2 linked regions of the Sus scrofa genome follow. The main gene of each other region encodes a partner of the protein of the gene in region 2 in a complex. Links are inferred from orthologs where the notes say so. Each region holds a gene or a part of one and is shown on either strand. Other genes may lie near its edges.

Evidence for each region. The genes of interacting proteins can lie anywhere in the genome.
Region 1: the proteins of C2H19orf35 (region 2) and YWHAB are in contact, whole or in part, in a cryo-EM structure (PDB 8DP5), measured with the Homo sapiens proteins. The link is inferred for Sus scrofa from reciprocal best matches to the Homo sapiens genes PEAK3 and YWHAB. Residues at the interface, in NP_940934.1 of Homo sapiens: Arg66, Thr67, Gln68, Ser69, Leu70, Pro71, Thr72, Arg73; in NP_003395.1 of Homo sapiens: Val48, Lys51, Asn52, Arg58, Lys122, Arg129, Tyr130, Gly171, Leu174, Asn175, Val178, Glu182, Ile219, Leu222, Asn226, Leu229, Trp230.

What each region holds. Positions count from the first base shown.
Region 1 is NC_010459.5:47,296,774-47,300,819, forward strand, and holds the start of YWHAB (14-3-3 protein beta/alpha), read left to right. Parts: upstream 1-1,246; 5' UTR 1,247-1,465; intron 1,466-4,046. UniProt on the Homo sapiens protein: Adapter protein implicated in the regulation of a large spectrum of both general and specialized signaling pathways. Binds to a large number of partners, usually by recognition of a phosphoserine or phosphothreonine motif.
Region 2 is NC_010444.4:76,283,947-76,287,962, forward strand, and holds the start of C2H19orf35 (putative uncharacterized protein C19orf35 homolog), read left to right. Parts: upstream 1-1,216; 5' UTR 1,217-2,024; intron 2,025-2,281; exon of another isoform or gene 2,282-2,441; 5' UTR 2,442-2,445; coding exon 2,446-2,527; intron 2,528-3,020; coding exon 3,021-3,559; intron 3,560-4,016.

The sequences.
Region 1 (4,046 bases), on a different chromosome or scaffold from region 2:
GACAAAGCCAGATCCTTAACCCACTGAGCCACCAGGGAACTCCTAGAATGGGGTTTTGAAAAGATCATTTCAGGGAGTTCCCATTGAGGCTGAATGGGTTAAGAACCTGGCATTGCAGAGGGCTGCGGAGTAGGTCACAGATGCGTCTCGGATCTGACGTTGCTGTGTCTGTGGCTTAGGTAGGCAGCTGCAGTTCTGATTCACCCCTAGCCCAGGAACTTCATATGCTGCGGGTACGGCCCTTAAAAGAAAAGAAAAGAAAAGAAAAGATCATTTCAGCAGTTGATGGGAGCAGGACTGGGGGTAGCGTGAAGAGTTAGAAGTCTATCATTAAGCTAAAGCAAAGGAGAAATGACAAAGGCTTATCTATTTACTCTGTTCTATTTCGTATCAGACTATAAACTCCAAGACAGCAGGGCCACGTCTATCTTGTTCTTGCTGTGTCTCCAGCACGAAACAAAAAGTCTGCTTCATAAATATTCGCTGAAAGAATGAATGAAAGGGAGGCAGTGGAGGTGAGGCATTTTGAAGAACTGGGCTTAATAGTCACTGGCCTTGGCAAGGGCAGAATGGTGATAAATGGTGAGAGCAGATGGGAATGGGGTGGGGGGTGTCGTGGAGCCTGGTTCCTTAAGATTCCTTTAAGAGCTTGGGTGAGGGGGTATTCTATCACGGACACAGGCTTCCAAAAAAAAAAAAAAAAACAACACTTCACAGGTCTAATTCCTGGCCTTCTCGGTTCACAAAAGGAGGAAATGATCAGTATTTTGAAGGACTGAAGGGAGGATTAAGGAAAAATTTAGCAAAAATTTCTGTCCTTCCTTAAACGCAGTGTTTCCAAAGCACACAGCAAAAGGGGACTAACTTCAACCTCACTCAGTGACGATGATTTTTTGGGTGGGGTGGGAACCAATGACCTCAGAGACTCTGGGCCCGGCCAGGGCGACTCCCTAGCCTAAGCCTCAGGCCCGCCCAACCCCAAACCTTGCCCAGCCCCCTCGTTTCCACATGTCGCTTTTCTAGATTCCCCCCCTCAGCCCCGCCTCCACTCCGCCCACCTCCTTTTTCAGCTCCCCGCCCCCATTTCCGTCCCCCTACACCCGCCTCCTCCTAGCTCCCTACCCCGACCCCCGCCCTCCCCCCGGCCGCAGCATCCCGGCCCTTAGCTCTCCTTCCTCCTCCCTCTGTCCGCGCCCCTCTCGGGCGGCCGGGGCAACCCCGTGCCCTGCTCACCCAATGAGGAGACGGCTCAGGGGCGGGGCTCGAGCCGAAGCGGAAGTGGTGACCGGAGCGGAAGTGGAGCCGCCGCCACCGCCGCCGCCGATTCCGGAGCCGGGGTAGCTGCTGCCGCCGCCGCCACTGCAGCTGCCGCCGCTGCCGCCAGAGGAGTGGGCTTGGGAAAGAAGCGGTCACCGCGCCGGGAGCTCCGCTCGCAAGCTTTTTTGCCCCCTGCAGCCCTCCCACGGTGAGTGCGGCGCGGGGTCCGCCCGGGGCCCCCAGGGGCCCAAGCTCCAAACTACCCCCCCCACAGGCGGCGGCTGCAGCAACGAGGGCGACCCGCAGGTGGGCCCGGGTGGCAGCGGCGCGCGGCCTGTTCAGCCCCGTGCGGCCGCCTGCGGCGCGGGCTCGGCCTCGCCGCGGCCCCTCCCTGTTTCCGGGGCCGGGCCCTTAGCTCTGGGAGAGGCCCCGGCCGCCCTCGCCGCCTGCGGCCCTGCCCGGCGGGCGGGGTGCGGCTCTGTGCCGGGCCGGAAGGGAATCGTGTCCCGGACCCCTGACCGCCCCTCATCACCCATCTTCGATTCCCTCGAGACCCCTCCCTGCGCCTTGAGCAGCCAGAACCGACCCTTTCAGCCCTGTCACCCCCTGCGCCTCGCTTTCCGGTTCCCAAAAATGAAATTTAACCAAATGCAGGCGAGTTCTTGAGCCGCAATGGCCCTGCTCGACTCCCTCTGGATGGGTAAGGGGTTTAACCTTGGGAGAGAGCAGAGAGAAGACCCCCTCCCACTTTGCAGTAAAGCCATTTCATCATCGTTCGCTGGTGCGGGAGCCTGACAGAACCCGAGATTCCCTAGGAAGCACAGGGTTGAGGTTTGAATCGAGAAAATGCGTTTGGTGGAACCGGTTACTGAGTCAGGCCGGACCCCCAGAAAAAAAAAATAAATAAAAAATGTCAGAGGTTGAGAATCGGAATATTTTCCCACGTTATTTCCCATCATTTAATGCCAGAGTCTCTTTTGTCCTCGCCCCAAATTCCCCTATACTGTGGGCTAGCACGTTTTTAGGACTGAAATTTGCCCGGTGGTGGAGAAGGGGTGGGTGTGATTAGGCCCCTTTTCTTCCCAAGATGAATACATCTTTGTCTCTTGCAAATGGAGAACTCACGTGTAATGGGGCTTTCAAAGGCGGCAGTATTGGTAAGACAGTTTGCCAACCTTTCTGTGAAAATTCATGTCTTTTGTCCTTGCCGTCACTGCTTTTCCCTTTGGTAAGGCTAGATGGCATCAGGTTCTGATTTTGCTTGCCCTGTGTGGGAGACGGAATTTGGCAATCAAGCGGCTACAGGAGCCAGAACAGAAGGATGAAGCACTTGGAAGAATGTGAAAATTGTCTGCATTTCTCACTCTGTCTCAGTTGTTCACATGAAACCGCACACGTATGTGGTTTATAGAACCAGACACGTGGGTACTCAGTTTTTTGCATTTTCATGTTAGAAATTTATATATGTTAATATTACTTGGTTCTTGGTCATTTCCTTCTTGACTGCTTCCAGAGCACCCCTTTTCTTATCTAGGAACGTGTCAGGGCCCTCATTTTTCTTGGATCTGTGTTCTTAGCACAGGTGGTGAGGGTAATATCTGTCAATTTGACTGGACCCAGGTTAGAATTGTACAGGTGATCTTCACAGTGGAAGGCTAATAATAATCCAGAAGCAACTGCTGAATTATTTTCCTGGTCTCTCCTTTCAGTGAGATAAGAAACCATTCATCCATCTAACCCACGAAGTCTTTATGAGAAATAAGATGCTTTGGCCTAGACCACACACCTGGTTTTCAGGTTGAATATCCTCATTCATCAGTAGCAAATATTTATGGCCCGTCAGCCCCTGGAGTATGGCTCCTACCCTATAATCTTCTGTACATTTCCCATCATGCAGTGCTTGCATTACATTGAAGCCATTTTAGAATTGGAGCTCTGTAGATCTGGAAGCAGCCTGCAGAAAACCAGGCTGAGCAAATTCCCACAATGCCAGTTCTCAAGGCAGAGTCTCCAGAGATTCGGGCCGCTGCAAAAAGTGCATTTTACCCATTTGGCTGTGGCTGTTGAAGCAGAGAGAGCACTGGACTTGGAGTCAGGTAAATTTGATTCCAGTTGTGTTTGCAGCATTTTCTAGCCGTGTGCAGCTTAATCTCTGCTGCTTGGTTTTTCTATCTCCAGAGTTGTCAAGAGACTTTCTCACAAACTGTAAATTGTTAAATATAAGCCTCTAGTTTTGTGTTTGAATCACAGGGTTCACTATTAAGGGCTTTCTTTTTGCCTTGATTACATTCTGAGGAGACCCAATCCTCTTTGTATACATGTTGCTTTCAAAGAATGATACATCATGATAAAATTGAACTTTGTGTAGAGCCTCTTCAGCCTTTTCTGAGCCCATTTTCTCATCTGACCAGTGCCAGTGGTAATAGTGTTTGATGTGTTATTGCGACAGACTCAATAATTAAAATCAAGGTGTGAGATCTAACTAGATGTTTGGTAAATGTTTTGATTGTATTCATGAATATTATGCATATATGGACTAGCTACCATTTATATGTGCTGAGTGTTGCTCTCAGCACATACACATTAACTAAGCTTTCATAACAACCAGTGGTAGGTAAATACTGTTAGCCACATTTTACAATTGAGGAAATTGAGGCACAGAGAAGTTAAATAATTTCCCTGAGGAGATGCGCGCGCGCACACACACACACACACACACACACACCTCTCGCTGGGTAGGTGTTGGAGCCAGGAATCAAAGCCAGGCAGTCTGGCTCTAATGATAGATT
Region 2 (4,016 bases):
GGACCTGCTGTGTGACCCTGTGTGGACTACAGCCCTCTCTGGGCTCACTGCCCTTGAGGGAAATGAGAGGGGGCCAGGGAAGAACCTGAGCGTGAAAGATCTCAAACTACAAAGCAAAAATGTCTGCATCTGCAGTGATTTCTTGGGTCGTCATTACAGTGGGGGAGGGGCTGTGTTTGCAGCTAGGTTGTCTTTCCTGACAGCAGCCCAACAGGGTGAGCCTTAGGCCCCCAAACAGTGGTTTTTTTGTTTTTTTGTTTTTGCTTTTTAGGGCCACACCTGCTACATATGGAGGTTCCCAGGCTGGGGGTCTAATCGGAGCTACAGCTGCCGGCCTATGCCACAGCCATAGCCACAGACACAGCAATGCCAGATCCGAGCCACGTCTGCAACCTACATTTCATCTCATAGCAATGCCAGATCCTTAACTTACTGAGCGAGGCCAGGGATCGAACCCACAACCTCATGTTCCTAGTCGGATTCGTTTCTGCTGTGCCACAAATGGAACTCCCCAAACAGTTTGGACACTGTGTGCTTAAGCTAGAATTTCACACTGCCTGGTTTTCCCAGGTTTTTACCATTCTTGATTTTCCATGTATGGTAATTCTTTTTGGTCACACCTGCTAACATGTGGAAGTTCCCAGGGCAGGGATCAAACCCGTGCCACTGCAGCCACCTGATCTGCTGCAGTGACAACGATGGATCCTTAACCTGCTGATCCACCAGGGAATTCTCCAGTATGGTAAATCTATCTCAAATGTTTTTTTCTTTTTTTTTTTTTTTTGGTTTTTAGGGCTCCACCTGTGGCATATGGAAGTTCCCAGGCGAGGGATCAAATTGGAGCTGCAGTTGCTGGCCTACACCACAGCCACAGCAACGGGGATCTGAGCCACATCTGCACCACAGCTCATGGCAAAGCTGGATACTTAACACACTGAGTGAGACCAGGGACCGAACCCACATCGTTATGAATGCCAGTTGGGTTCATTTCCACTGAGCCACAGCAGGAACTCCTCAAATGTCTTTCTTTCTTTTCTTTTCTTTCTTTCTTTTTCTTTTTTTTTTTTGTCTTTTTAGGGCCATTCCCGTAGCATATGGAGGTTCCCAGTCTAGGGGTCGAATTGGAGCTATAGCTGCCAGTTTACTCCAGAACCACAGCAACGTGGGATCTGAGCCTTGTCTGGGACCTACACCACAGCTCACAGCAACACCAGATCCTTAACCCACTGAATGAGGCCAGGGATCAAACCTGCATCCTCATGGATGCCAGTCGAGTTCGTTAACCCCTGAGCCACAATGGGAGCTCCTCGAATGTCTTTTTCTAAATAAATGCATTAAGGCAGTGGGGACAGGGAAGTGAGATGATTACACGTTAATGAAAAATCCAGCTAGTGTGGCTGTCAAGAGGCAGCAAGCAGGGACCACTTTTCTTTATTTGCTGGAACACAGAGAGGGGTGGTGTTTGCCCAGCGTCACACAGCAAGTCAGAGCTGAGCTGGAGCTGAGCTGGTGCTTAGGCAGCAAACTGCTCCCAGTCCAAGGGTCCTAGGATTGGCAGGAAGTGGGGTGCTTGCACTGGGGGCTTCTCAGACAGTCCTGCAGGGAGACGTGGCTCTGGAGGGGTGAAAACCTCAGAGAGAAGGGTCACCCAGTCAAACTTCTCCTTAAACAGTTGCTGCTGGAATTCCCTGCCCTCCCCAAAGGTACAGGGGTCTAAAATGTCTTGCTTCCCTCTGTCTCTCTGAGTTCCCCCCTACTGCCCACCTTGTGTAAACTTTAGGACTTCTCCCAGTCTTCTCATCTCCCCCCATCCCTTGTAGCCCTGGAACCAAGGCCAGCAGTCATGGGGAAGTAATGCATAAAGCACCCCCCCCTGCCCCAGCCTGCGGTCTAACAGTTGTCTGGGCATTTCCGGTTCACTGCCAGCAACCGGTCAGACAGTCCGGCAGGCCAGGGGCTGCAGCTATTGGGAGTTTGCACCCAAGGCCCCCCCTCCCTGCCCCAAGGTCACACCAGTCCTGAAGGTAGGCCATTCCTGGAGGGGGTGGGGTGGGGTGGAGGGGGTGGGGTGGGGAGGGGGTGGGGTGGGGCAGAAATGGCCAGTTTTCAAGGTTGGGGTGACCTGGAATCTGGGTGGGGCAGGGCTGGGGGCCGGGCTGCTGTTGGCAACTGCACAGCTGAAGGGGGCTGAGCTCTGGGGAAAAGGCCTAAGCTTGGGTCCCTGAATACTGTCACCAGCCTCAAGCTGTCCCCTCCCCCCCCACACCTCTTGCCCTCACAGCTGGATGTCCTGCCCATGTCACAAAGAGTCAGGGCACTTTCCATTGCCCTGAAAAGTTGATGGGTGACATTTGCCCAGAGAAGTCAAGCAACCCTCCCAGGGCCACACAGCAGGTGCAGGACCCCACCCACACATGCCCTGTACTCTGACCTTCCCCCAGCAGCATGAGTGACCCGGAGCCACCCACTAAGACCACCGGGGTCAACACCCCCACCTGGCCTACTCAGCCCACGTACAGCAACCTTGGTGAGCGCTGGGGTGGGGCCCTGGGTGGGATATGGGACAAGTGGCTGTCCCAGGCAGCCAGAGCATAGAGGTAAAGTCTCTCGTTACCTTCTAAAGAATGCTCTGCCCAATGATGGTTTAACTTGATTATAGCAGCTTTTAAATTATCTTTAATAAGCTCTTTGTTTAAAGAAAAAAAAAATAGCTGGCTTTCACTAGCTTGTAAAAATGAGGAAACGAGTTCAAAAAGGCTCAGTCACCTGGCCAGAGCCACACAGGGAAGTGGGGGTCGCCCATGCTGGGCCGGATGTTTCTCTGCCTCTGACCTGTCCCTCCTCTGAACCTTCGTTTCCTCATGTGTAAACTGGAGAGGGCATTCTTAACCCACAGGGTCGTTGGGCTGGCTGGTATTTTTTCCATTTTAGACATGAGGGAATCAAAGCTGAGGCTGGAGTCGTGGGCCCAGGACCACACACTCTGGGCATCCTCAAGCCCCTCCCCACTCCCCCAATAGGTGAGGTCCGTGCCCACCTGCTGCCTTCCAAGCCCTGCCGCCCCAGAACACCGGAGCCTCCCTTGGCTGACCCGCAGCCCCTGCCTCCACCCCTGCCCAAGAAGACCTTGACCAGGACCCAGTCACTGCCCACCCACAAGGCCCCCAGTCCCAGCCCTGTTCAATCAGGGCAGCATCGGAAGCCGCTTCTGGGATCCCTCAGTGTGGACGAGAGCAGGGCAGGCGACCAGAGGGTGGAGCCAGCCCGTCCGCCTGCAGAGCTGCCCTTCTGCTCGCTGGACGCAGAGCTGGGCCTCTCCCTCCACGACCTGCACCGCCCGGAGGCTGTGCACGCAGCGCTGGAGGCCAGGCAGCTGGAAGGCCTGCGTGTCGTGCACGCCCGGCTGCACGCCCGGCTCCTGGGGGGCCGCCCCGGCCCCTGCCGCCCCGGCCACGACTTCCGCCTCTTGGACAGCTCGCCCTGCTTGGAGAGCGGGGACGCCCTGTACTACCGCCTGGTGCGCGCGGATGAGGAGGCGTGGCACCTCCTGGCTGCCAAGGTGAGCCCCGCCCCGCCCCGCCTCCGCCCCAGCTCCTGGGAGGTTTCCCCAATTTCCAAGACATAACCCAGGGCACTTTCGGCCTAACTGCTTATTTTGCAAATAACACATAAATGAACACCGTCTGCCCGTGGAACCACGTTTCTAAAGTGTGGGCCACCTACATTCGAATCTCCTGGGAGTCTTGTTAAACTCTCCCCACGCCTCCCAGGGTCCTCTCCAGTGAGTTCCTGCACCAGAAAGCCACAGTCGGCTGATACTTACCACTTTCACCACCATCACCTTTGTCGACATTGTCATCATTGTCGTTTTCAACAATCACCAAAATGTACTACTGAGCACTGTTCACGTCTTGCCCTGTTGTAAGGACTTTTAGGCACTTTCATTCAGCTAATCCTCATGTGAGCACTGCCATGTTTTGTTACAAAATGCTTCCGTTTCGTGCACCTCTAAGAGA